Linked DNA regions of Diceros bicornis minor. The protein of the gene in region 1 interacts with the protein of each later gene in a biochemical or structural test. Links are inferred from orthologs where the notes say so. Each region holds a gene or a part of one and is shown in the gene's direction. Other genes may lie near its edges. The genes, in order: MATK, KIT and SIRPA.

Region 1 (7,773 bases):
GTTTCATGCGATTCTGGGTTCATTTGTCCTGTGAGGGCCCACTGCGTGCCAGGCTCCAGGGATAAATGACTGCCCGACCCACAGCCGGTCCCTGCCCTGCCTCTCGGAGCATACGTTGTGTCAAGAGGAGCAGACCGAGGCAGGAGGGCAATCGACAAGAAGGAGTCAGACAGAGTAACAGGCAGTGATTGGGGCTTGGACGATGGGTGACCACCATGGGTGGTCAGGAAGGGTCTCTTGGAGGAGCCGGAAACGCCGAGAAGGAGCCAGCCTTGAGAAGAGCTGAGGGGAGCACATACGAGGAGGAGGAAACAGCACGTGCAAAGGCCCTGAGGCTGGCTGGTGCCTGAAGCATTTGAGGAACAGGAGCAAGTGGAGGGAGCTGACAGCAGAGGGGTGACAGCGGCCAGACCAAGCCAGTGGGGGGTGACAGTGAGAAGCCCAAGTTCCATCCTCAGCCAGATGGAAACCACGGGCAGGTCGTCAGCCAGGAAGTGACACAGACCCAGTTCACCCACATCGAACCTGCAGGCGTGGCTGGAAAACGACATGCCGGATCCACTCTACTCGCATCACAGGATGATGGGGCGAGGATGTGGGGGAGAGCACACAGCCTCCTCTCTGGAAGGCAGATCTGCCTGAAGCTCACCTCCGGCACCCCAAAAAAGCAGGTCGCCCCGAGAGCCCTTTCGCTCGACGCGAACCGCAGCTCTGGCTGCGGAGCAGCGGGGCAGCACGTTTCCTCGAAAGAGCAGAGCGGAGCGTTCCTCGCCGGGTCCCCGAGGCCCCTGGCAGGGAGGAGACGGCTAAATTTAAAGGCGTGCTAATTGGGGCAGTCCGATCCGGCCGCGCTCCAGGATCCGGCCCCACATCTGCCCGCCCGCCCTCCAGATCAGAGAGCTCGGTACGGCACTTTCTCTCTGGGGGTCCACCGTGTGCCCGACACCTCGCCAGGCGGCTGGCCTGTGGGCCCTGGGGCCGGACGGGCTGGGTTCGAAGGCCAGCACACCACCTCCCGTGTCCTGGGGCGAGCCCGGGCGCCCTCTGGGCCTCGGCATTCTCATCTGAGAAATGGGTACACTGAGGGTGCCTGCCTCACAGGTGACACCTCAGTACCTCTCCCCTCCCCATAGTCATTGGCTTAAAGAATATGTTCTGAGCACCTGCTGTGTGCCAGGTACAGAAGCCACAGCCGGGAATGGCCCCTGGTGTGAAGACTGCGTTTCCCACCTTCTCCTGCCCCAGGCTTTGGCCATGTGGCTAAGTTCCACCCAACGGGATAAAATGAAGGTGTCATGTGCGTCTTCCAGGAAGAGTCCTTAAAGGGAAGAGGTGCACCTTTCTCTGCCAACTTCCTGCTTCCTGTTGGCTGGAATGCAGATGGGATGGCTGGAGCTTGAGCAGCCATCTTAGATCAAGAGGTGGAAGTTCGTGTGCCAAGAAAGGCAGAGCAACGAGAGGGCAGGAGCCTGGGTCCCTGACACTGCTCAGGATTGCCTCCCCGGGAGAGGATTAATTTCTGTCTAATTCAAGCCTTTAGCACTTGGGGTCCTCCATCCCGTGTAGCCAATCCTAATCCTCACTGATGCATTATGTAAAGTGCCTGTCACACGGCTCCCTTTGTTCATTGCCTACAATGATTTTCATCCCTACTAGTAAGAATAAGAAACATGTCCTGCCTTTGAGAAGTTTGCAACCCCATTGGGGGAGTCTGCAGGCCTGACTTTTAGCCCCAACCAGCTGTGTGACCATGGGCAAGTAGCCTCGCCTTTCTGGCTCTCAGCGGCTCCAGTTCTAGCATGAACTCCAGGCATGGCTGGATCTCTCTCTCCATTTCTCGGCTCTGCCTTCCTCCAGGCAGGCTGCCAGGTCCCCGCCCATCACACAGTGAGACCAGAGAGCCAGGGTCCCCCTCGAGGGGTCCTTTCAGAGCACAGATGTGGGTTCTTGCTGCGAGAAGGGGTGGGGGCGCCCAAGAAGGCTTCATAAAAATGGCGCCGGTTGAGTTGGGCATGAGCTCAGAGATGCCAGCTGGATGGGGGGAAGGGCATTCCGGGCAGAGGGAACAGCCAGCGCAAAAGCATGCAAATGCCTGCAGTTCAGAGTTGGGACTGCTGGGTGCCTGGTGGGAGCAGGAGACGAGGCCAGGGAGGCAGAACACGAAGAACCCTGGATGCCGGACTGAGCGTTCTAGACTCTGTCCTGCAGGCGGCAGGGAGCTAGGGAAGGATGCAGAGCAGGGGAGGGCCAAGGTCACATTCTCCTCCCTGGGCGATGCAGCGGAAGGTGAAGGGTAGCAAGGAGAAAGACTAGGGGTGGCTGGGAGACCAGGGAGGGGGCCTCTTGTCACCTGCCTGCACCAGGCGGGTGGCCTGGGCGGGTCAGAGAATGTCTGGATGGAGGGTAGGGAGCCCAGGACTGGAGAATTCTGCAGTCGGATCCCATGGTGTGGCTACCAGCTGGCTTCAGGCTAGTAGAAGGGAAGGGCGAGTGCCCTTTGTGATCCAAAGTGACCAACGCTTGGGTGCCTCCAGGGACGGGGAGCTCACCCCTTCGGTAGCCCTGACCCAAATAAACCATGGACTGGAATCTGTCCCCCTAGAGTCAGGCACAGCTGAGTGCCCTGGGGGCCCCCTGCACCCCAGGCCAGCCTTTGGAGATTCAGGCACCTGAACCTGTCTCCTTAAGTCTCTCCTTCTCCAGTCTCAATGCCTCTGGTATCTCTGCTTATTCCTTCTGGAGCGGGGCCTTCCAGAGTGTGGGGCAGGACCCCTGGGGTCCCGGGGAGGATGTAGGTGCTCCTAGACACTAAGAATCGCACGAAGGAGAACGTCTCCGTGGGGTGCTAGGGCGTCCTGACGTGGTGAACGCGGGCTCGTGTCCGCGCTGGGCAGAGAGAAGGCGCCCCCGTCGTGGGGCCGGGGCGGCAGCGTCTCTCGTGGGAATCGGATGGTGCCGCTGGGTTTCCGCTGTGCGATTTTGATGCTGCGTGTCTATTTCGGGCAAGTGATGGTGGTTTGCCATATATGGTGGGCGCCTGGGGGACCCTACTGAATGCCGGCCGCGAGGTCCCCAGCCCCAGGTCCCAAGCAGTGCCGGCGGCTGGGAGGCGGGGCCACAGCCTGGGCCCGTCCCACAGCCAGATCCCTAGATGGAGCCCGGGGAGCCTGCTGGCCAGGAAACCCCTCGGAGGGAGGCCCCCTCCCTGCAAACGCCAGCTGGGAATAATGAATTACACTCCGCGAAGGAAAGACGCCCTCCCCTCCCTCTCCTCCTGCCCACGCTCCTCACTGGGGATAACCCTGGTGCCGGTTGGGGGCTCCCCTTCTGGAACTCTCCCCTCGGACTTATTCTCTCCTGGATAACAGGAATAGGGTCATGCATTTGTGTTGTGTCACAGCCTGGTGGTGGGGGGGCGGTTTCGACAACTGTTGAGGTTAGCACACATAGTTTCCTAGTTTTTGTTGCGTACTATCCCATCATGTGGCTGTTCTGTCACTCTCCTAACTGGGCCTCTGTTCCCAGAAATCATGAGATGCCTAGAGGCACCCACACTTAGCCTTGCAGGGGACAGAAGATTAAAGAGGGGACCCAGGCTGTCTGGGCATCTTGGTTTATCCCTGTCGGAGCAGGAAGGCGGCGGAGCTCACAGGGCGATCGCAGGGGGCCACGCCCAGGCGTGGCCATCAAGTTGACCTGAGACTGTCCTCTGAGGTCAAAGCCAGTGCTGCCCAGCCCTACAGAGGGGGAAACCGAGGCTGGAGTGGGAGCAGCCCCTGCCTCTGGCACAGCTGGGATGGCCCCAGGCACACCCCACTGTTCACCTCCAAGGAGGGCTGCTCCGCCAGGAGGCCTCAGTTCCCAATAGTTTTTTTTCTGTGGCCCCAATTTTCCCTTAATATTGATGATGATCATAACGATACCGATAGCAGGTGACATTTTTGGGCGCTTTCTTTGCGCCAGGCACCATCAGCCTTCTGAATGAGTCCCCCCCCATGGCAGAGGAGGTGACTGAGGGCGCTGGAATCACAGATTCAGAGGGTCCACTGTGTCGTCTGGGCTCCGCGGCTTGCTTACCTCCCCGGATGGGCAGCTCACTCCGCCTCCCCTGCCCGCGCGCACGAGCGCGGCACCCGCTTCACGCTCCAAGGCGTCGGCATCCGGGGTGGGCGGGGGTGCGCGCCCCGCGGCGCCAGGCCGGGAGCGGCGGGGAGCCCGCGAGCGCCACCAGCCCCCGCCCGGGCCGCGCCTGAGGCGCCGGGGGCCGCGGGGGCGGGGAGGGGAGGGGCCGGCGGCGGCGGCGGCGCGCGGAGCAGACCGCAGTGCGGCCGGCGCTAGGACCCGCGGGGGCCTCCCAGGCCGCGGCGCCTCCCGCTCCCCCCCACCCCAGTCCTCCCCCCCCCCAAAATGAGGAAACGGAGCAACTTGCTCCAAGTTGTGCAGCCGAGGCCGCCTCGGGGTGCGCAGCCGGCGCGCGGGGGCCCTCCTGGGGGCGAGCGCGGGGCGCGGCCCGGGGGCGCCCCCTGAGCAGGTGAGCGCGGCGGCGGGGATGGGGGGAGAGACCGCGGGGCAGCGGGGGACCAGGAGGGCTCCAGGGGGACCCCGGGCGTGCGCGGACGGGGCCGGTGTGCGCGCGAGGGTGCGCGTCCGGGGCGCGCGGCGGGTACGCGGCCGGGGCGGGCGGTGGCTAGAGGCGACCAGGCGCGGGGTGGGGGTATTTTCTGGCTGCGGGTGTGCGCGTCTGCGAGCCCCCGGGCGTGTGTATCCGCGCGTCCACGTGGAGGATGTGCGCGTGTGGCCGAGATGCGTGTGCGCGGCCCTGCGTGTCGCTCTGCGTGCGCGGGTGGCCCTGTGTCTGGCGCCCAGGTGTTCCAGTGTGGGTCTGTGTGTGCGCTGGGGGAGACAGGTACACAGGTTTCCCGATGTCCGAGCATCTGTGCGTGTGTACACACGTGTGGACGGGGGTGCACACGTGTCTCTAGGGGAACGTGCCTCTGCTTGCACACCCGCGCGGCTGTGGGCACCTCTGTCCACCTGTGTGTGTGCTCGTGTGTACACGGATCAGTATGCGTGCGAGTACACGTGAGGTTGGGGACTTTTGGGGGGCGCATACTGGAGACGCAGACTCACCCCCCCAACCAGCCCCCTGCAGTGGGGTCCATGGGGGAGGCAGGGGTGGAAATGCCGGCACCCCAGCAGCAGTGAGTGAATGTGTGTGTCCCTCCTGGGTTGTGGGGGGGGGCGGATCAGAGAGGCTCAGCTGGCAGCCAGAGGAGCCCAGCAGGGCTGCATGGCCCTCGTCCCCTCGCTCCCCGCCAGGGTCACGGATTCTTGGGAATGACCTTGAATCATCATCCTCTGTTCCCTGCCCTGCCCCTGCCCACTTACCAGAAAAGAGGAAGAAGGAGGCTCGATTAGGTGGCACCAAGCTCCCCACGCACCATGCGGGCTGCTGGGGCCTGAGCCAGACGCTCCCCCCCCCCCCCGCCCCAGCCCGTGGCCACTTGCTCTGTGCCCACCTTGTGCCTCAGTTTCCCTTTGGGGACCATGGCGAGGCGAGGCTCCATGGTGCCCTTCCTGGTGTTCGTGGCTTTGACTTTGCTAAGGAGCTCCCCCCGGTACATACCACCTCCCCACAGGGCCTTGGGGAGCCAGCGCCTGGACCCCCACCCCCGAGGATGCCCGCCGGCTGTCGCCTCCACCTGGCTGGGCTGACAGTGGTAGTGAGGGCGCTGGGGCCCCAGCCCGGCTGGAATCTGAGCTCTCCAGCTGGTCTCTGCTCCTCCCCAGGTGAGGCCTCGCTTCCTCCGCGCCGGGCACCCCCACCCTCCCAGGCAGGATGCCGACGGTGAGCACCCCAGCCTGTCCCCAGCCCTTCTCGACTCAGTCCACACCCGCAGGCCCTCAGCTCCCCGGGGGGCCAGACTCCCACCCGGGGCCCCTTCAGCCAGTGTCTGCCCAGTCTTTCTCGCTCCCTTCGTGTTGACTTTCTCTCGCCTTCTCTCTCTGACCTTGGGTCCTGGGCCCCTGGGTTGGTGACTAATATTGTTCTGCTGGCTGCGCCCTGCCCTCTCTCCTCCTCTCCGTTGTTTACTGTCTCTGTCGCCATCCGATTTGCTGTCTGTCTCTCATCTCCCCGTCGCTCGGTGGCTGGCTGTCTCTTGCTCAATTTCCAGTCCTGTCTCCCTCCTGTCCTCTCCCCCCCGCCCCGCTTGGCCCTCATGCGGCCCTGTGCCCCCCCCCCAGAGGCGCTGGGCCCCGGGCACCCAATGCATCACCAAGTGTGAGCACACGCGCCCCAAGCCGGGAGAGCTGGCCTTCCGCAAGGGCGATGTGGTCACCATCTTGGAGGCCTGCGAGGTGAGCGGTGGCTGGAGGGCCTGGCGCGCTGGGGGACGGGGCTCCGTCAGGACCCCCCACACACACACACCGACCCCTGGCTCCCTCCCTGGTAGAGCAAGAGCTGGTACCGGGCCAAGCACCACGCCAGCGGGCAGGAGGGGCTGCTGGCGGCCGGCGCGCTGCGGGAGCGCGAGGCCCTGTCCGCGGACCCCAAGCTCAGCCTCATGCCGTGAGTGGGGGGGACGCCCCGGGGGCGGGGGGAGGCGGGGGCCCCGGCCAGCCCGGCCCAGCGCGCCCTCCCGCCGCCCGCAGGTGGTTCCACGGGAAGATCTCGGGCCAGGAGGCCGTGCAGCAGCTGCAGCCGCCCGAGGACGGGCTGTTCCTGGTGCGCGAGTCCGTGCGGCACCCCGGCGACTACGTGCTGTGCGTGAGCTTCGGCCGCGACGTCATCCACTACCGCGTGCTGCACCGCGACGGCCACCTGACCATCGACGAGGCCGCCTGCTTCTGCAACCTCATGGATATGGTGGAGGTGCGGCCTCGCGGCTCCGGACCCCCGGAGCTGCGTGCTCCCCAAAGCCGGGATGGAGGGACCCCAGGCCCCGCCCCATCCCGGCAATTGGGTGGACCCGGGACCCCCAGAGCGCATGCTCCCTAATGCGGAGATGGAGGGACCCCAGGCCCCGCCCCTTCCCGGCAATTGTGTGGGCCCTGGACCCCCATAGGCGCGTGCTCCCCAAAGCCGAGATGGAGAGACCCCAGGCCCCGCTCCATCCCGGCAGCTGGGTGCACCTGGGACCCCCAGAGTCACGTGCTTCCCAAAGCGAGATGGAGGGACCCCAGACCCCGCCCCATCCCGGCAGCTGGGTGCACCTGGGACCCCCAGGGCGCATGCTCCTCACTGTGGAGTAGGAGGGGCTAGCCTCCATGGACCACCAACCCTAGAGGTGGTCTGAGTCCTCGGGGTTCCACCTCCAGGGACTGGGGTGGCCCTCTGGGGACCCCTAGGAACCTCCAAGTTGACACGAATCCAGAGACCCCCCCCACCTCCCCAGGATCCTCCTGTTTTCCTCCTCTCCTGCATCCTCTCCGTTTCCATGGAAACGAGCCCAACTCATCCTGCGAGAACCAAACCCCTTTCCTCCCGCCTCCCCAGCTCCGGCCCACCCCACCCAGAGACCCCCTGGGAAGGGGACGGGCTGCAGGGGTTCCCCGCAGCCCGGGGTCGGGCTCACGCGCCTCTGCCCCGCCCCACCCTGCAGCATTACAGCAAAGACAAGGGGGCCATCTGCACGCGGCTCGTGAAACCCAGGAGGAAACAGGGCACCAGGTCGGCGGAGGAGGAGCTGGCCAAGGGTAAGGCGCGCCCTTCCCCGCCCGCGCGGCCCCGGGCGCATGGCCGCGGCCACGTCACCTGAGCCAGAAACCTGC
Region 2 (7,572 bases), on another chromosome or scaffold:
TGTGGTCTCTACTCTCCCCTCCCCGGCAGTCCCGTTTCCCTAACTGTGCTGCACTACTGTGGTTCTTCACAGTCCTCATGCTGTTTCATGCCTCCTGCCCTTGGCGCGTGTGCTTCCTACCGCTTGAACGTTCTCCTCTTCCTGCTTTGCCTTCTCCTCCTGATCCCTCAGAATCTAATTGCTACCTCTTTGGGGGAGCCTCGTGAGATCGCCGTATAACATGATTTAGGGTTCACATGTCATCCTGCACATAGCTCTGTCAGGGTACATATAACAATTTAATCTTTGATCCCCTTACGTGTCTCTCTTCTTTTTCTGCAAATCTCATGGGGGCGGCATCTGTGTCTTGTCTGACTTTTCCTTCCCAGCACCTAATGTAGCTCATCTGGCATATAGAAGGTGTTCAATAAACACTGGGTGAAAGCTTGAACTAAGAGCATACACTACCTTCTCCCATCCTCACCAATGGTGAGGTGGTTATTGTTGGTATAGAGTCCACCAATGAGGATCACATATCCATTTCTCCCACTTTATGCACAAAACCTTTCAAATGGTTACTGGAAAAATAAGGACTATCAAGTAACAAACTTGAAAAAGATTATACCCTTGGTGTAGTAATTCCACCCCCAGAAATTTATCCTATACAAATAATCAGAGGCAGGGAAGTTTTATTCACCAAGATGTTCATAATCAAGTAATTTATGATAGGAAAAAACTGGAAAAAAATAGAGAAATGATTACATATTTAGAATTATGGTACATACATACAAGTGAACATTATACTGCTGTTATGTATTATGTTTCCACAGAAATTTTTTTTTTTTTGGGTGAGGAAGATTAGCCCTGAGCTAACATCTGTGCCTGTTCTCCCTCTATTTTGTATGTGGGTCACCGCCACAGCATGGCTTGATGTGTGGTGTAGGTCCATTCTCGAAATCCAAACCTGCGAACCCAGACCGCTGAAGTGGAGCACGCCGAACTTAACGGCTATGCCACGGGGCCAGCCCCCCAAAGAATTTTTAATGATCTGGGACAATGCTTGTGTTATGATTAGTGAAAAAGCTGGATAGAAAACTAGCAAGTATTGTAAAATCTTAAATTATACAAAGAAAAAAAAATCCTTAGCATAAGCAGAGAAAAAAGATTTGAAAGAAACACACCAAAATGAACGCTTCAGTAATTATATCTTGGGTGATTTTTGTTTTGTTCTTTATAATTTTTGGTATTTTCTAAAGTTTCCACAGAAAGCATCTTTACTTTTACAATCAGAAATTAAAAAATTTTTCAAGTTAGAGATTTGGGCTATGTGAGACAATAGTAGAACATCTTTTAAAATTTAATTTAATTTTTTATTGCAGTAACATTGGTTTATAACATTATATAAATTTCAGGTGTACATAATACTGAACATCTGTTCTATTTGTGCAGCATCATTTCGGCTTCTTCTAGTGAAAGTACCTCAGGTTTTCTTTGGGGACATATCCCTTCTCATTCTTAGGCCTTGGGATGTGGATGAAGTGGATACTCAACCCTGGCTCCAGGGGTGGGCATGTGAGCCAGACCTGGCCAATCATCATATTCCATCTGTCTGGCTTTGTGACTGGTTCCAAGTGGGCATGTGACTTAAGCCAAGTTAATACTTTTAAAGGAGATGTTCATGAGGGCAGAAAAGCTCTGCTTACATTGGTACTAATGAGCTGTAAGCCTAGAGCTGCTTGAGTGCACATGAGGACAGGGAATCAATACAGGAAAGTATTGCTGAAGGATGGAGATGCAGAAAAATGCATGTGTGTGTACACACACACACACTACCTTCAAGTCCTCACGTTTTTGAGTTCTTGGATCTAGGAAAGTGTAGAATGCTATCATCTCTGGACAATTATGAAAACAATAAATTATATACAATATAATTCATGAAAGGGTCCAGGGCTATCACAAAATAGAGTACAGAACTGGTCCTGTACATCCTACCTGAGATATCAAATATTTCCATCATTGTAAACGTTTGTATTGGACATGATCTAAAATATAGTTCATTCCCATAGCAGTTCACTCAGAGCACCTTCTAGATGCCTCCTTTTAGTACCTGGCTGGCAGAGGGTATTATTAAAAATAGCTAATCACCCTAAAGGCACAGGGACTGGAGGCTCTCTGCTGTGCCCGGCATTAAACCTTTAATTGCTGGATCTGAGGAGAGTTGGGGTATCTCAAGGGAGGGGTTGGAGTGAGGGGGCACTTAGGTGTTTTGGAGGAGTGGCTTTTTTCCAATAAGTACAGAAAGATTTCAATATTCTACCAACCAACTTGGTGTGTACTGGCAGAACATGAGCCCCGTTAGTAGATATTATAGTTTCTTATTTGGGCATCTGTTTTCTCCCCTGGACTGTGAATCCTCCTAGACAGGGACCTTGTCTTATTGATTTTTGTAGGTCTTGTGTCTACCTAGGTGCTCAACAGGTATTTGTTGAATGGTGAACATGAACAACAGTCACGCATTGTATAATTCCCTACTCTAGGTTTTTTTTTTTCCCCTTTGATAGAAGTTTCCTGCCTAGAATTAAATTGCAATATGGTCTCTTTTCATCCACCCTTCTGAAGACTTGTTATCCTCTCCAATATCAGTCGATTGAAGAAGAAAATTGTGAATTTTCTCTCTCGGGTATAATGTTGATATTTTAACTCATAGTCATTTTTTTCTCACTACGAAATGGATTTTAGAAATAAATCAAGATCCCAGAAACTTATGATTGCTTTGAGTGGAGCTTTTATCTCTGTCATCCTCAGAAAAAGCTGTGGTCTGAGGGCGCAGAGTACAGAGACTTTTGCATTTCACTTCTCCCACAGCTGTATGACTTGAACCATTTGCTAGGACATTGGGGTGTGGGTTCCCACACTTGACTATAAGGATTGTGGCAGTGCCCACATCTGTCTGTTAACAATGGTACTCCTTGTTCACAGTAGACACTTTAATGCTTGTTGAATGAATAAATAATCTTAAAGAGAGGCAATCATACCCATTGATCTAGTAGCAATAATTTTTAAGTGATTAGCTTTAAAAATCATTTTTCTTAAACCAACTTAGGTCCTATCAACATCAAACAGGAGAACTTTCAATGTTAAAGTGTGTGTGGGGTGCTGCTGGTTAATTATAAATTTTGAATGTTATTTTAGAGAAGAGTCTAGGTGTATCTAAATTATTCCATCGCTTTTTCTGATGAGCATTTCCCATTTATTTTCCATTGTTAAGCTCTCTGGAGGGGTGTTTTACTGGTTTATTAGGATGCATAAGGAAAGCTCATCATACCCGGAGCCACCAAAATGACTGGGTCTCCTCTCTATTAGCTGTGTGATCTTGGGCCACTTCTAGAACTAGAATAATAAACATATCTGCTCTACCTACCTCGCAAAGCTGTTATTGTGAGCATGAAATAATATTCAGTGTAAGGAGGAACTATAAAACCCTATACAGATACTGTTGGGACCTTCCCAGGCAGTGGAACCTGGCTTAGGAGAATCCTTTCACTATTATTTTGCTCCTGGTACAGGCTAGGGCAGCAGAAGAGGAACGGCTCGGATCCCCACCCCTGTAACTGTCTTCGCATAGAGGGCCAGAGAAACCGTATGGGGGACAAAAAGAGAAGGTGCCCAGAGGGTTTAGCACAACGATCTCGGCGCAAATGGGTGTAAAAACTCGGGCTCCCAGAGCAAACTTCGCAAGGCGCCCCTCCCCACTCCGAGGCCCCAGTCTCCAGAAAAGCCTCGGCAGGGGCTTGTAGGGCGGAGGCCACGCCGACCAATAGAAACCAACTGTGATCTTACCGGTTGAGAAGCAGGTGGAGAAACTGACCAGAAAGAATTACGCCGCGGCTTAGCCTTTTACCGCGGTGCCAGGCACCACGCTTGGTCGCCCCCACCCCGACTAAAAGAAATGGAGAAGACATTCTTCTCCCTCTGCCCCCAATTCCTGTCCACCTCCACCACTAGCGGCGTCCAGCCTCCTCCCTCAGGAGCGTGCTCGAGGGGCAGGCGGCGAACCTTTATTGTCTGGGGAGCACCTGCCAGGTGGCGGGCCCGTGCCCTAATCTGCGCGTGGTGCCCAGCTTCACAAAGCGCGCGGGCAGCACCACCCCCGTCCGGGAACCGCCTCCGGCGCCCAGACCACATCACAGGAGTGAAGAGACGAAGGGGCTCCGGGGTCGGGAAGCGGCGAAGAGGGTCGGCGCGCCCTCCCGCTCCCCGCGGGCTCAGACCCCCGGGATGAGTACGTCGAAAAAGCAGGGGCCAGACGCCGCCGGCAGGGAGCGAGAATCAGCCGTGAGGCAGGGAGGGGAGGGGAGGCGAGGAGGGGCGCCGAGAAGGGGCGTGGCCGGCGCGCAGGGGGAGGGCGCTGGGAGGAGGGGCAGCTGCTCGCAGCTCGCGGCTCTTGGGGGCTCGGCTTTGCCGCGCTTGGTGCACTTGGGCAAGAGCAGGAACGTGGAACGGAGCTCCGATCCCAGCGCAGCCACCGCGATGAGAGGCGCTCGCGGCGCCTGGGATTTTCTCTGCGTCCTGCTTCTCCTGTTCCGCGTCCAGACAGGTGGGAGAGCGCCGCGGGCACCGGGGCCGCGCCCCTGGCGCAGCCTGTGCCCCCGAGGGCTCGAACACGTTGGGGTGTGTCTGGAGAGGGGGCTGCTGGCCCTCCAGTGCCCGTGCATTTCAGCCTCTGGGAGGATGGGAGGCGTCCCCGGACTTTCCTGCGCCCTGCCTCGCTCACCTGCGCGAGGAGACCCCAGCCGCTGGTGGTGGGGACGCTGAGCTGGGGTCTTCCAGAAATGAGGGCAGCGAGGGGGTTTAGGCGTGAGCGAGGTGCAGGCTGAGGGCAGCGAGCTGCGTGCGAGTTTGGGGTTGCTTTTGTGCCGAGAGTGCGTGAGGGCACAGGCGGACGGGTCGGCGGGTCGCACCCAGCGCGTTATCTCCGCCGTGCGAGGCGCGGCCGCTGCTTCCTTTTGTTAAAAGTTGCGCGTGTGTGACCGGCGCACCGGGGGACCGGCCCGCAGCTTCTCAGCCGCGCCGAGGTCAAAGTTGGAGAGGCTTTTCTTTGCTCTGCGGCTGCTGCTTTCCAAACCGCGAGCGCTCTTTGTGCCTGGGAGCTGAGGACTGACCCACTGCCGCCTCTGCTCGCGGCGCCACTCGTGGACGCGAGTCGAAGGCTGCGGCGTCCCCCCGAACCCCTGGTCATGCTTTTGCACCGGGAGCGCGCCGCGTGCGGCTCTGGGGCCCGACCCCGCTAACCTGGAGGGGGCGGCTACAGAGGCAGCTTGGGCAGAGCGTGTGGAAAGCAGCCGCTAGGTTGCAGACTTTTAGCTTTAATAAGTCCGGTGCCAGAGGCTCGCCACTCTCTGCCGCTTGCTTCCCTGCCACGCGCCTGGAAGCGGCTGGTGGCTGCGTTGCCGCTTGCTCTCGGGGAAGGCAGGGACAGTGCGCTGGGACGCCGTGGTCCCCGACCCCGGCCGCCTCCCACGCCTGGTCAGGCTAGCGGGGCTCTGCAAGCCCCCGGAATCGGTGTCTGCAACCTGTAATCGCAGGTCCCTGTTTTCTTTGGGAATTTTGAGATTCGCAATACTCACTCCACGTGATATCTATATATAAGGGCTGCGGGAGGTGAAGGGTGGGAGACGGAGTGGAACTTTGCAAATCTTACTTGGATCTTAAAGCTGTTGTGAAAATCCGGTTATATCTGCGCGGGAACTTGGGTCTTAAGGCGGAGGAGAAGGATTTACAGGCTCCTCAGTCAGATTCCTGCCCCTTCTTCCCTTTTCTCTGGGTGTCGCTGGTGCGCGAGCGAGCGCAGGTCGCCCAGCTAACCCCTGGAGCCCTGCTCGCTCTCAGGTCATTTTTTAAAAAGCTTTAAGGCTACCCTCATGATGTGAGGACAGAAAGTGAGTCTGAACTGGAATTCAAGGGCTCCAGAGGAAGCATCGCTATGAACTATTGTGGGGCTCTATGGTCAGTTTTCCCATAAAGTCGCAAGATGCAGGGTCCGCCTTCCCGGTCTTGGAAGGCATTGTCAGGGCTTACCTGTCGGAGAAGGGGGCCCTTGCATCTGGACTCGTGTGAGGTAGGAGGGATCGTGAGTGAGTGTCCGGATTTCGTGGTGGATTTGACCGCCTAAGCTTCCAATGAAACGTTTGGTCTTTACATCTTGGCATTTTTAATTTCAGTTAAGGTATGTAGACCGGAAGGGAGTAAGGCACTAGAAAGACAGACCACGCAGAATATTTCCCTTTTTAAAAATTAAATGAATCATTTGCTTCCTTCTTCCGCATCAGTAGCTTGCTCCATCCAGTAGGCTTTTGGCAAAGGGAATTTTAAGGTCTGGCTTCTGGGGGGCACTGTGGTGTAGTGACAAAGCCTTGTGCTGCCGTTCTGGTTTCTCTATGCCCTTGGGCAGGTCGCTTAAATTCTGGAGAGCCCAGTTTCCTGAAGGGGGCAGTGAGGCATCTGCATCATGAAGGGTCCTTTGGATCCAAAAATTCTCCTCTTCCAGTGTTCTGAGTGTAGACTCTACACTTTTTCTGAGTTTTTTCCTGATTCCTTCCTGCCTCCTTGAAATCTCTCTGCCGCCTCTGTCACAGGGACCACTTGGTGGTATCCTACTGGTCTCCCCCTGGTTAAGGCAGGGAGATGTGCTTATGCTGCCCTCTCTTCAATCCACACATGCTGGCCTGCTATTTCCCTTTGAGGGCTAGGAGGTGCCAACTTGCAACTCTACAGGACCCTCATCACCTACCCCCCCCCTCCCCCCAGTATTTACAACTCCTGTGCCCGGCAGGATGAACCTGCAAGGAATAGTGAATCATACCTTCCCCATGTTCCTGCAGATGTGAGCCTAGAGTCATACCCAGCAGCTGGACACAGGATATTCTGGCTTAATATCCTGCTGGAAGTAATATGATAGTCTTATAAAGGGATTCCAGATAATTCATTTATCCCCATTCTGGTCTTTCCTGCTCATCCACACGTTTTTCCTTAGGACCTTATAAATCGTGTATGCTGTGCATTTACAGCACGTTTTCTGATGTGTCTTAAATTTCACGTTACATGTGTGTTGTACGTAGTTATTGCTTTTTATTTGGAAACTGTGTGCCAGGGCCTGTGCTGGAGCCTTCACCTGGCATTTCCAGTCCTCTCAACAAGCACCGGAGGTAGAACTGTTGCCATCCCTACCATTTTACAGCTGGGGAAACTGGCTGAGGAGAAGTCAGTTCCCAGAGTCATCAGTGGTGAAACCTGAGATTGGCCGCGTGTGCCCAGCTGTATATCCATTCACATGACTTACCCATTCGAAACTATTTAATGAGGACCTGTTAAACGCCAGGCATTGTTGGAGGTTCTGGGAACACAAGATGGCCAAGTCATTACTTTCCCAATTTTGGTGAAAAAGACCTAGAATTGCCTGTCTTATGATGTCTGAGTTCGAGTGTTCTCAGTTTGAGGGAAGTCATTAAATTATAGCCTTGGGTATAAGGGCTTTAGGTGTGAGCTCTCCCATTCCAGGTAGAGTCTCTCAGAAATGAAGATAAACTGTCCCTA
Region 3 (8,022 bases), on another chromosome or scaffold:
TCTTTTCCTATATTAACTCATTTAACCCTTACGAGAAAACTTTTAAGGTATGGTTCCATCAGTCCCCGAATCTGGGCAAGTGAGGCACAGATGGGCAAAGTAACTTGCCCCACGGCCAGTCTGAGGCAGCACTGGGGTTTGAGACAGAGGATGTGTTTCAAGAGCCAGGCACTGGGCCACTGGGCTGGACTGAGCTGTGGCTAGTTAAGATGCACAAAACGCCATAAAGACACACAACACTGGCAGGCCGTGATGCGTGCTATGAAGACATGATAAAGTAGGGAGAGGAGGAGAGCGCATCGGGGTGGGGGGAGGTGACTATTTTAACGGGGTGGCAAGGCCTCTCGGAGGAGGAGGTGACCTGTGAGCAGAGACCTCCCTAAGGCAGCTTTCCTGTCTGTAAAGTGAAGGAATCACCAGCACCGTCTCCCAGGTGTGGTGTGAATGTCACAAGAACATGCCTGTAAAGCATAGCAGATGCTGAACAAACGGGAACTTATCATTATTTGGAGAACCGAGTTTGAATCCTCACTGGCTCCGCCACTCACCAGCTGTGTGTCCCGGGCAAGTCACTCCGTCCCTCTGAACTTCAGTTTCCGCGGCTATAAAATGGCTGCCGTGAGCCTTGGGGACAGCCCAGTACAGGTCAGAGAAGAGAGCAGGGGCGCCTTAAGGGCGCTCCCAGCTCCTGCCCCCCACCGCCCTCTCAACAGGCTGTCAGCAGCCCCTCTCTGGGGCAGTTGGTTCCCTGGTCCAGGAATCCCTGCTGTTTTTATTTTTATTGTTCTGGCTCCACAGCTGAGGCCTCTAACTCCAAAAGGCTCCTCTTGCCCAGAAAAATAGGTCGTTGGCAGCTCCAGTCCTGACAGGCCCCACACAAAGGCGGCCCGGCGGGCCTGCGGGCTGACGCCAGCCCAGGGTTATGGGAAGCGAGGAGGGAGCCCGGCCGGGCTGGCGCCAGGCAGAGCTGGGTCCCCGTGGGTTCCTGCAGGCCCAGGCACAGTGACCCTGGCCCAGTCGCTTTCTGTCCCTGGCTTGTTTCCTCACCTCCGGGACCACCTTCAAGGAGGCTATCCATGTGGAAGGGCCTGGCACACACAGGGGCGCCACCACCCACCTGCAGAGGCTAACTCCAGGTATGCTCCCCCGTGGTGGCTTTCCCATCTGTGCCACCACCGACCCCTCGTCTCGAGGTGGACCTGCTTATTCCTATTGCACAGATGGAGAGACTGAGGCTCATAAAATCAATTTTCCCCAAATCGCACAAGTCAAATTGTGCAGAGTCTTGGCTTGGAAGCCCTTTGCGCTCATTCAAGTCTTCTCTGCAGCGGACCCTGGACAGCAGGGGAGGGACATGATCTGACCTCTATCAAGGGATCCCTCTGGCTGCTGAGTGGAGAATGGATGGGGGAAGAGGAGGACAAGGGTGGAAAGAGGGTGCCGGTGGGAGATGGTGGAGGCGCAGACAGGGTGGAAGCAGCAGAGCAGGCACCGGGAAGTGGTTTGGTCTTGCATGTGATGAGAAGGTGGAGCCCAGGGGACAGGCTGCAGGGGGGGAGTGACAGAGAAGTGTCAGGAGCAATGCAGGGATGGAGCCGCCGCCCGTGCTTCCCATCTCCATCTCGCAGGTCTTTGCTCAAATATCACCTCCTCTGAGGCCTCCCTGACCCGCCCCCCTTGTTGGCCCTGGGTGCCTTCCTGCTTTCTCTCCCCCTGTAGCCTTATCCCCATCACAGAGACTAAATATTTCACATACCGTTTGTTTGTTTGCCCCACTAGAGTGTCAGCTCCTTGGGGGCAGGAGTTTTTGTCTGTTTTTTCCCACCTCCTGCATCCCCGGTGCCTAGCACAGAGGCTGGCACATAGTAGATGCTTAATAAATATTGCTGAGTGAGTGCATGAATGGATGGTACATGTACGAAGGCAGATCAGTTTTAATCCAGGGGAGCCCAGGACGACTCCTAGGGAGGTGGCTGATTCACCTCAACTACCTGCCATAATCTCTCTGTGACCTCAGGTCTCCCGACCTCAGATGCTCAGCTGCCCATTGGTCTCAATGAGCTCCCAGCCCTGACGGTCGGCCAAGGGTGATTTTTATGTGGAGGCTGGATCAGGAGGAAAGGGCCCAGGCCGCCTCCTGGGGCAGAGGTGAGGATGAAAATGGTCCCTGTGCTGGGCAGCCGTCCTGGGCGCCTTTGCCAAAGGTGCTGTATATACATAGCAGGTGGTGCGATTATTATCCTGGCCTAATCTGCAGCTTCCTAATCCCAGGCAGGGTGTGTGTGTGTGTGTGTGTGCGTGCACGTGCGCGTGTCCTGGGGAACAGCGAATGGCAGAGCTTTCTGGAAGCCCAGGCCAGGAGTCTACCTCATCTCTGGTGGTCATCAGTAGCCCCTGCCCCCACTCCCACCCCAGATGGATTCGTGTGATGGATTTTCCCAGGAGCCTCAGCTGGTCACCTTCACGGTCTCAGCCAGATGTGGCCTGAAGAGTTGGAGACTCCCTCCCCCAACCTGAGATACTAGGAGGACCCCAGAACAAACTCCTCACTGGTACCCTGATTCCATGCTCCCCTCTACTCTCAGCCACAGTGGCCTTTTAAACACACCAATCAGACCATGGGGCTCCCCTGCTTAAACCCTCCAGTGATTTCCTGTCTGCAGAATAAACACAGGCTCTTTACCAAGGTCTGCAAGGCCACCCAGCCTGACCACTCTCCCCAATCCTTCGCTCATTCCTCTCCAGCCAAGCTGGCCCCAGGGCCTTTATACGTGCTGCTCCCTTTTTCTGGGAACAGCAAATCCCCACATCCTCACCTTGCTGCCCCTTCTTGTGATTCAGTTCTCAGCTTCCCAGGGAGGCCTTACCCTTATTTAAATCAGCGTACCCTTCTCACTCTCTAAGCTCAATCTTCTGTTGCTCATTAATTATTTCTACTACTGTACTTATCTGTCTCCCCACTAGAATATAAATTCCTCGTGGACGGGGCCTTGTGTGGGTCACTGCTGTGTCTCCCACGCCCAAAGAAAAGAAAATCCCCTCGCCCTTCAAACACTGCCCAGAACTCTATGGGTTCCGAGGACTGTTGCTGAACACTTTCCTTATTTATCAAATGCTTACGTAGCCCCTGGGACATGCTAGGCACTTTTTAAAATGTTGTACAAATATTAAGTCATCTAATTCTCACACCAGCCTTTTTAGGTTGATATTCACATTGGCCTCATTTCAGATGCGAAAGCTGAGGCACCGAAATAAGTTCTTTTCTCAAGTCGACACAGCTCATAAGAGGTGGCTGGCAGGATCTGAACCCAGGGAGTCTGCTCCACACTCTCAACAGCTGCACCCTGCCTGCCTCCCTGTCTTAGCCCAACACCAGAAGCAGGCATTTGACAGGGAGGCAGGGCTAGGGATGGGGTGTGACTTTGCAAAGGTTTTTAGCCTAGAAATCAGGAATCAAGTCTTGTTTCTATCCTAGGCCTTGCTGCGTGGCCTTAGGCAAGTCCACTCCCTCTCTGGGCCCAGACACCCTCTAGATGTACAAGGCTGGCCCTTCTCCCACCCTGCTTCATTCATATCCTCTTAATGGCCTTGTGAAGCAAAATTGGGTATTGCTTACTTCCGAGCCCCAAACCCTCCAGTTAGCACAGGGTCTTGGATTCCTTTCCCTCCCACAGCCCAGAGCCTTCTTTTGCCAGATGACCAGCATGCTCACTCCCTATCCCTGACCTGGCTGCTCCTGGGAACACAGCCTTTCCTCACGGAAAAAGAGAGGGAGAGAAAGGAGCATGGGCTTCTTTCACCTAGGCTATCGCCCCTCTCCAGGCCCCTGCTCTCCTCTTCCCCTCGTCTTCCTCACTGCCTGTCATTTTCCTGGAGCCCAGGCCTTCAAGTCAAGCCCCCTTCTCCCCGCCCCCAACCCTGCCTGAGCCTTCCGCACCCCCTGAATGGGCCATGCCTGACAGAGAGGCAACTGGGGGAGAGCGCCCACCTCCCCAGCGAGGCCCGGACCCAGACCCTTCCCCTCTGGTTTCCAGGCCGCAGCCCCCCTTCTCGCTCCCTCTCCTCCCTGCGCCTCTTTTCCAGGCGGTGCTGAAGTCCTTCCTACACACACGCTATTTTTGTACCATCACTCTCTCCTTCCTCTCCCCCTTCCCCCTACATTCACTTACTTCCTGCTTTTCCTTCACCTCGGGCCGAGCTCTGAAAGAATTGGGCCCCTCTGGCCGGCGCCCACCCCCAAGAGGGCCCTTCAGCTTTGGGGCACAGGGGCAGGGCCGCTTGGCGAGGGGCCAAAGGCAGACCCCACCCCGTGTCCCCCTCCACTCCCCCACTCCCTCCCCGCCTCTCCCCAGCGGGACGCAGGGACAAACCCCGGCCGGAGTCCGGAGGCGAGGGCAGGTCGGCCGCAACTTCCCCAGTCCACCTTAAGAGGACGGTGTCGCCAGCTCGCGGCGCTGACCTTAGGAAAACAAGTTTGCGCTCAGTGGAGCGGGGGGCCCGGCCTCTGGGCAGCCCGCGGCGGCGCTTCCACAGCCTTCCAGCCCTCGCAGGCGGCGCAGGTCCGAGCCCGGCCGGCAGTGGGAGGGGGAGGAGAGGGGACGGCGCGGGGCCGGGGGCAGCGGCGCGGGCTTCTGCACTGGCACGCTGTTGGCGCCGGGGGCTCGTCCAGTCCCGAGCCCGAGCGGCTGCGCCGGCGGGGGGCTCGCGGGGCCGCCTCCCGGGGTGCCGGGGCCGCGGCGCGGGCGAGGGGGCGCTGCTGGCGGGCGCAAGCCGAGAAGCTGCCGGCGGCCGAGCCCCGCAGCCCCCGGGCGCGCGGGGGGCGGAGGGAGGGGGGCGGGAGGGGGCCGGGCTGCCGGGAGGGCGGGGGCCGCGGCCGGGACCGCGGGCCGGGAGCGAGCCGAGCGCCGGCGCCGCGAGGAGCCCGGGCGGGGCAGGTGGGCAGCGGCGGGGGCGGCTCGCGCCGGACGGGGCCGTGCTGCCCCTCGCCCTCCGGCGGTCCTCCTCTCCCGCGCTGGCGGTCTCGCTCGGCGCGCCGCCGCGCGCTCCTTTCTCTCCCTCTCTCCCCCTCGCGCCTCTCCGTGTCTCTGGCTCTCTGCCTGGCTCCCTTGGGTCTGTTTCTCTCTCCTGCCGCCTCTCTCTGGCTTTATTTCTCGCGCGCTCGGGGTCTCTCCCCCTCTCTGTCTCTCGATCTCTCCCGGGGAGGGGGGTCTCCGAAAATCGCGGCGGTGACGGCAGCTCCTAAGCCGCTCCAGGCGCCCGTTCCGGGGAGGGGGAAGCCCGGCCGGGAGGGGTGGGGGGGGGGAGCGGGGGGGGTGTCTTAGTCATTTCCCCGCTCCAGCCTGCGCCCGCCCGAGCGCGCACTCACGGCCGCTCTCCCTCCTCGCTCCGCAGCCGCGGCCCATGGAGCCCGCCGGCCCGGCCCCCGGCCGCCTCGGGCCGCTGCTCTGCCTGCTGCTCGCCGCGTCCTGCGCCCGGACAGGTAAGCACCCCCCACCCCCACCGCTGCCATCCCCAAACTGCGGGCTCAGGCCTCTCAGACCGCCACTGGGAGCCGCTCGGCTATGTAGAGCAGTAATAGGGGGGAAAATGCCTGTGATCAGGGTTACAGATGCGGAAACTGAGGCCCAGAGAGGGCCAGCGACTTGCCCAAGGTCACACAGCCAAGGATAAAACCCAGTCTCTCTGGACTCTGACTGTACGGCACTGTGCCACGCACTGGGACATACCCAGATGAGTTGATTCACCCGGCCCCTGCCCAATCTGATGGGAGAGGCAGGCTGTCAGCTGCTTTCAGAGCCAGGAGCCCTGGCTTCTCTAGAAGCTCTTTCTCTGGACCTGTGTTTTCCACACGTTTGACTTCAGGGTCAGAGACAGGGAGTGGGGCAGAGGTCCTCTGGCTCTGCCTGGGATGGAACAGAAACAGGCTGTTGCAATTAGGGAGGAGTGAGCTCTCTCTCTCTGGTGCGCAGAGTAAAACAGTGTTAGCCTGTGTATAGAGGAGAAAGCGAGGAAGGGAGGCCCGGTAACCCTGGGGTGAGCTGCTGCAAGCAGCAGATCCTGATGTGAAAACACAGTGGATTGTCCCTGTGGTTACCAAAGCCTCTGGCTGGATGGTCTTGCTTCTTGTGGCTCTCCTGGCCCCCCCACTTCCTCCTGCCTTCCCTGGCAGCTCCCTGCAGTTCAGGTGCTCTGTGGGGCTGTTACCTGTGGCTCTGAACGTGGCTTTTCGTTGGCCTACATCAAACACCTGGCTGTCTCCAGCAGGCGGGCTCTGAAGGCTACCGTATGTGTTCGCCAAGGGGTGAGGTCACCGTTCAGGAGTACTGCTTCTTAAAGGGGTTTTGCAAAACCACGGTCTCCTGGGAGGGCGTGGGGGGCAGAGAAACGTTGTTCAAGAGTTGGGGTGGAGAAGAAGAATGGGGATCTTATTTTTTGAAGCTGTGTTGCCAGCAGAGGGGTCTCTGCACCTCCCTCGAGGAGGGAGGTAAAGATGAGCTCAGTATCCTCCCCCCTTCTGCATTTGCCTAGAGACTGGTAACCATCTGATAGCACCGAGAAAGGGAGAGCTAGCAAAGAGTGGGTGGAGGGAGAAGTGGGGGTGGACAGCAGCTTCTCTCTGCCCTGCAGTTTCCCCCGAACCTCGGGAATCCATGTAGGCATCCCCCCCACCCCCCGGGGCTTTCAGTGCCAGTTGGGTTCTTGCTGGGCTGGGTGGAGGTAAACACTGATATATTTCATGTCTCTCTGGTGAGTGGCATCTCTGATCTGCTGCTTCCTGCCTGAGCCGGCCATTTACACCCTGCAAAGCCCGGTTCCTGCCCTGCCATCCTCCTGGCCTGCAAACGCACGAGCGTCTCGCAGAAGTGCTTAATTTTCCTGAAGCGGGGAACTGGGCCCAAGTTAATTTCTAAATGTCTATTCCAGACCCTTCTCCACCCAGGACCCTGTGGTTCAGTCCCTGGCAAATGAGCTGTGACGCTGATTAACAAGTGTTCAGATGGGCAGCCTGCCTCTCCTGGGCACTGGCTGGGAACACCAACACCCTTCTTGTGAGCAAATCTCCCCCTTTTACCTATAAAAACAATCTATAAAATGGTAAAGATTAGGCCATAAAACTTCCGTTCCAATCCATTCAGCATCAATAGCCTGAAAAAGTGGGAGCAGCAGAGGGGCCAAGATTAACTTTGAAATAAATAAATCTTAGAAGGTGAGAATAAATTTCTTGGTTGAGGGTGGTGGGGAAGGGATGGGGTGTCACCGTCATAGCTCAAATCTCCCAGCATCCTTCGCTCTCGTTCTACGGGGTTCTGGTCACACTCTGGGCCCTGGCATGGAGTTCACTGGTTTGGCTGAAGGATGGGGCTTCAGGCCCCTCCCTCAATTGCTCCAGGCATGAAATTTATGACAAAGCAGAAGAGAGTCAGGACAGAAGGGCAGGGAGGTAGAAGGAGTCAGTTGTCCAATTTTGTAAGAAAATGAATTTGTTCGAGTGAGAAACTCAAATGTCAGGCTTCAGAAGGCAGCTAGGATTGAATGACTACTAGTGTCTCAGGCAGAACTGTCAGCCTGGGAGGTGTCACATGATCGCTGTGGCTTCACATGATCGGGATCTGGAGGGGCTAGTCATGTAAATTATCTTGGTTGGGGAGGCAGGGGAAGAAGTTTCTAAAGATTCCTTTCAGCACAAATGCTGCCAAAGGGAAATTCTAAAAAGATGCACGTGAAGTCACCAACCTGTGTTCTTGGAGCCAACGAGAGGTCTGTTTCCTAAAACAGCTTTGCTGAGGGAGATTCTGAGACTAGGAGAAAGGCAAGGATCTGGGGCTTGGGGACACCTGGGCACCCTGATTCTGCAACAGCAGCGCCTGCCACTGACCCTGTGGGCTTCTGGCTTGGCCCCACCTAGGTCTTGGGACCTGGGGGTCACCTGCTGGGCAGACCTCAGATGAGCTCCCGTTCACTCCTTGCTCGGCCTGGAGAAGGCCAGGCCACGTTGGGTTTCAGGCTTCGGGGGATAGCTGG

Evidence for each region.
Region 2: the proteins of MATK (region 1) and KIT form a complex in vitro, tested with the Homo sapiens proteins (2 studies listed by BioGRID). The link is inferred for Diceros bicornis minor from reciprocal best matches to the Homo sapiens genes MATK and KIT.
Region 3: the proteins of MATK (region 1) and SIRPA form a complex in vitro, tested with the Homo sapiens proteins (3 studies listed by BioGRID, with this or other methods). The link is inferred for Diceros bicornis minor from reciprocal best matches to the Homo sapiens genes MATK and SIRPA.

Annotation. Positions count from the first base shown.
Region 1 is NW_026691553.1:2,892,890-2,900,662, reverse strand, and holds the start of MATK (megakaryocyte-associated tyrosine-protein kinase), read left to right. Parts: upstream 1-4,382; 5' UTR 4,383-4,531; intron 4,532-5,773; exon of another isoform or gene 5,774-5,790; 5' UTR 5,791-5,839; coding exon 5,840-5,848; intron 5,849-6,246; coding exon 6,247-6,360; intron 6,361-6,455; coding exon 6,456-6,571; intron 6,572-6,654; coding exon 6,655-6,874; intron 6,875-7,604; coding exon 7,605-7,698; intron 7,699-7,773.
Region 2 is NC_080747.1:42,550,471-42,558,042, forward strand, and holds the start of KIT (mast/stem cell growth factor receptor Kit), read left to right. Parts: upstream 1-4,434; 5' UTR 4,435-4,509; coding exon 4,510-4,576; intron 4,577-7,572. UniProt on the Homo sapiens protein: Tyrosine-protein kinase that acts as a cell-surface receptor for the cytokine KITLG/SCF and plays an essential role in the regulation of cell survival and proliferation, hematopoiesis, stem cell maintenance, gametogenesis, mast cell development, migration and function, and in melanogenesis.
Region 3 is NC_080758.1:30,550,029-30,558,050, forward strand, and holds the start of SIRPA (tyrosine-protein phosphatase non-receptor type substrate 1), read left to right. Parts: upstream 1-4,881; 5' UTR 4,882-4,934; intron 4,935-5,391; 5' UTR 5,392-5,400; coding exon 5,401-5,479; intron 5,480-8,022. UniProt on the Homo sapiens protein: Immunoglobulin-like cell surface receptor for CD47. Acts as docking protein and induces translocation of PTPN6, PTPN11 and other binding partners from the cytosol to the plasma membrane.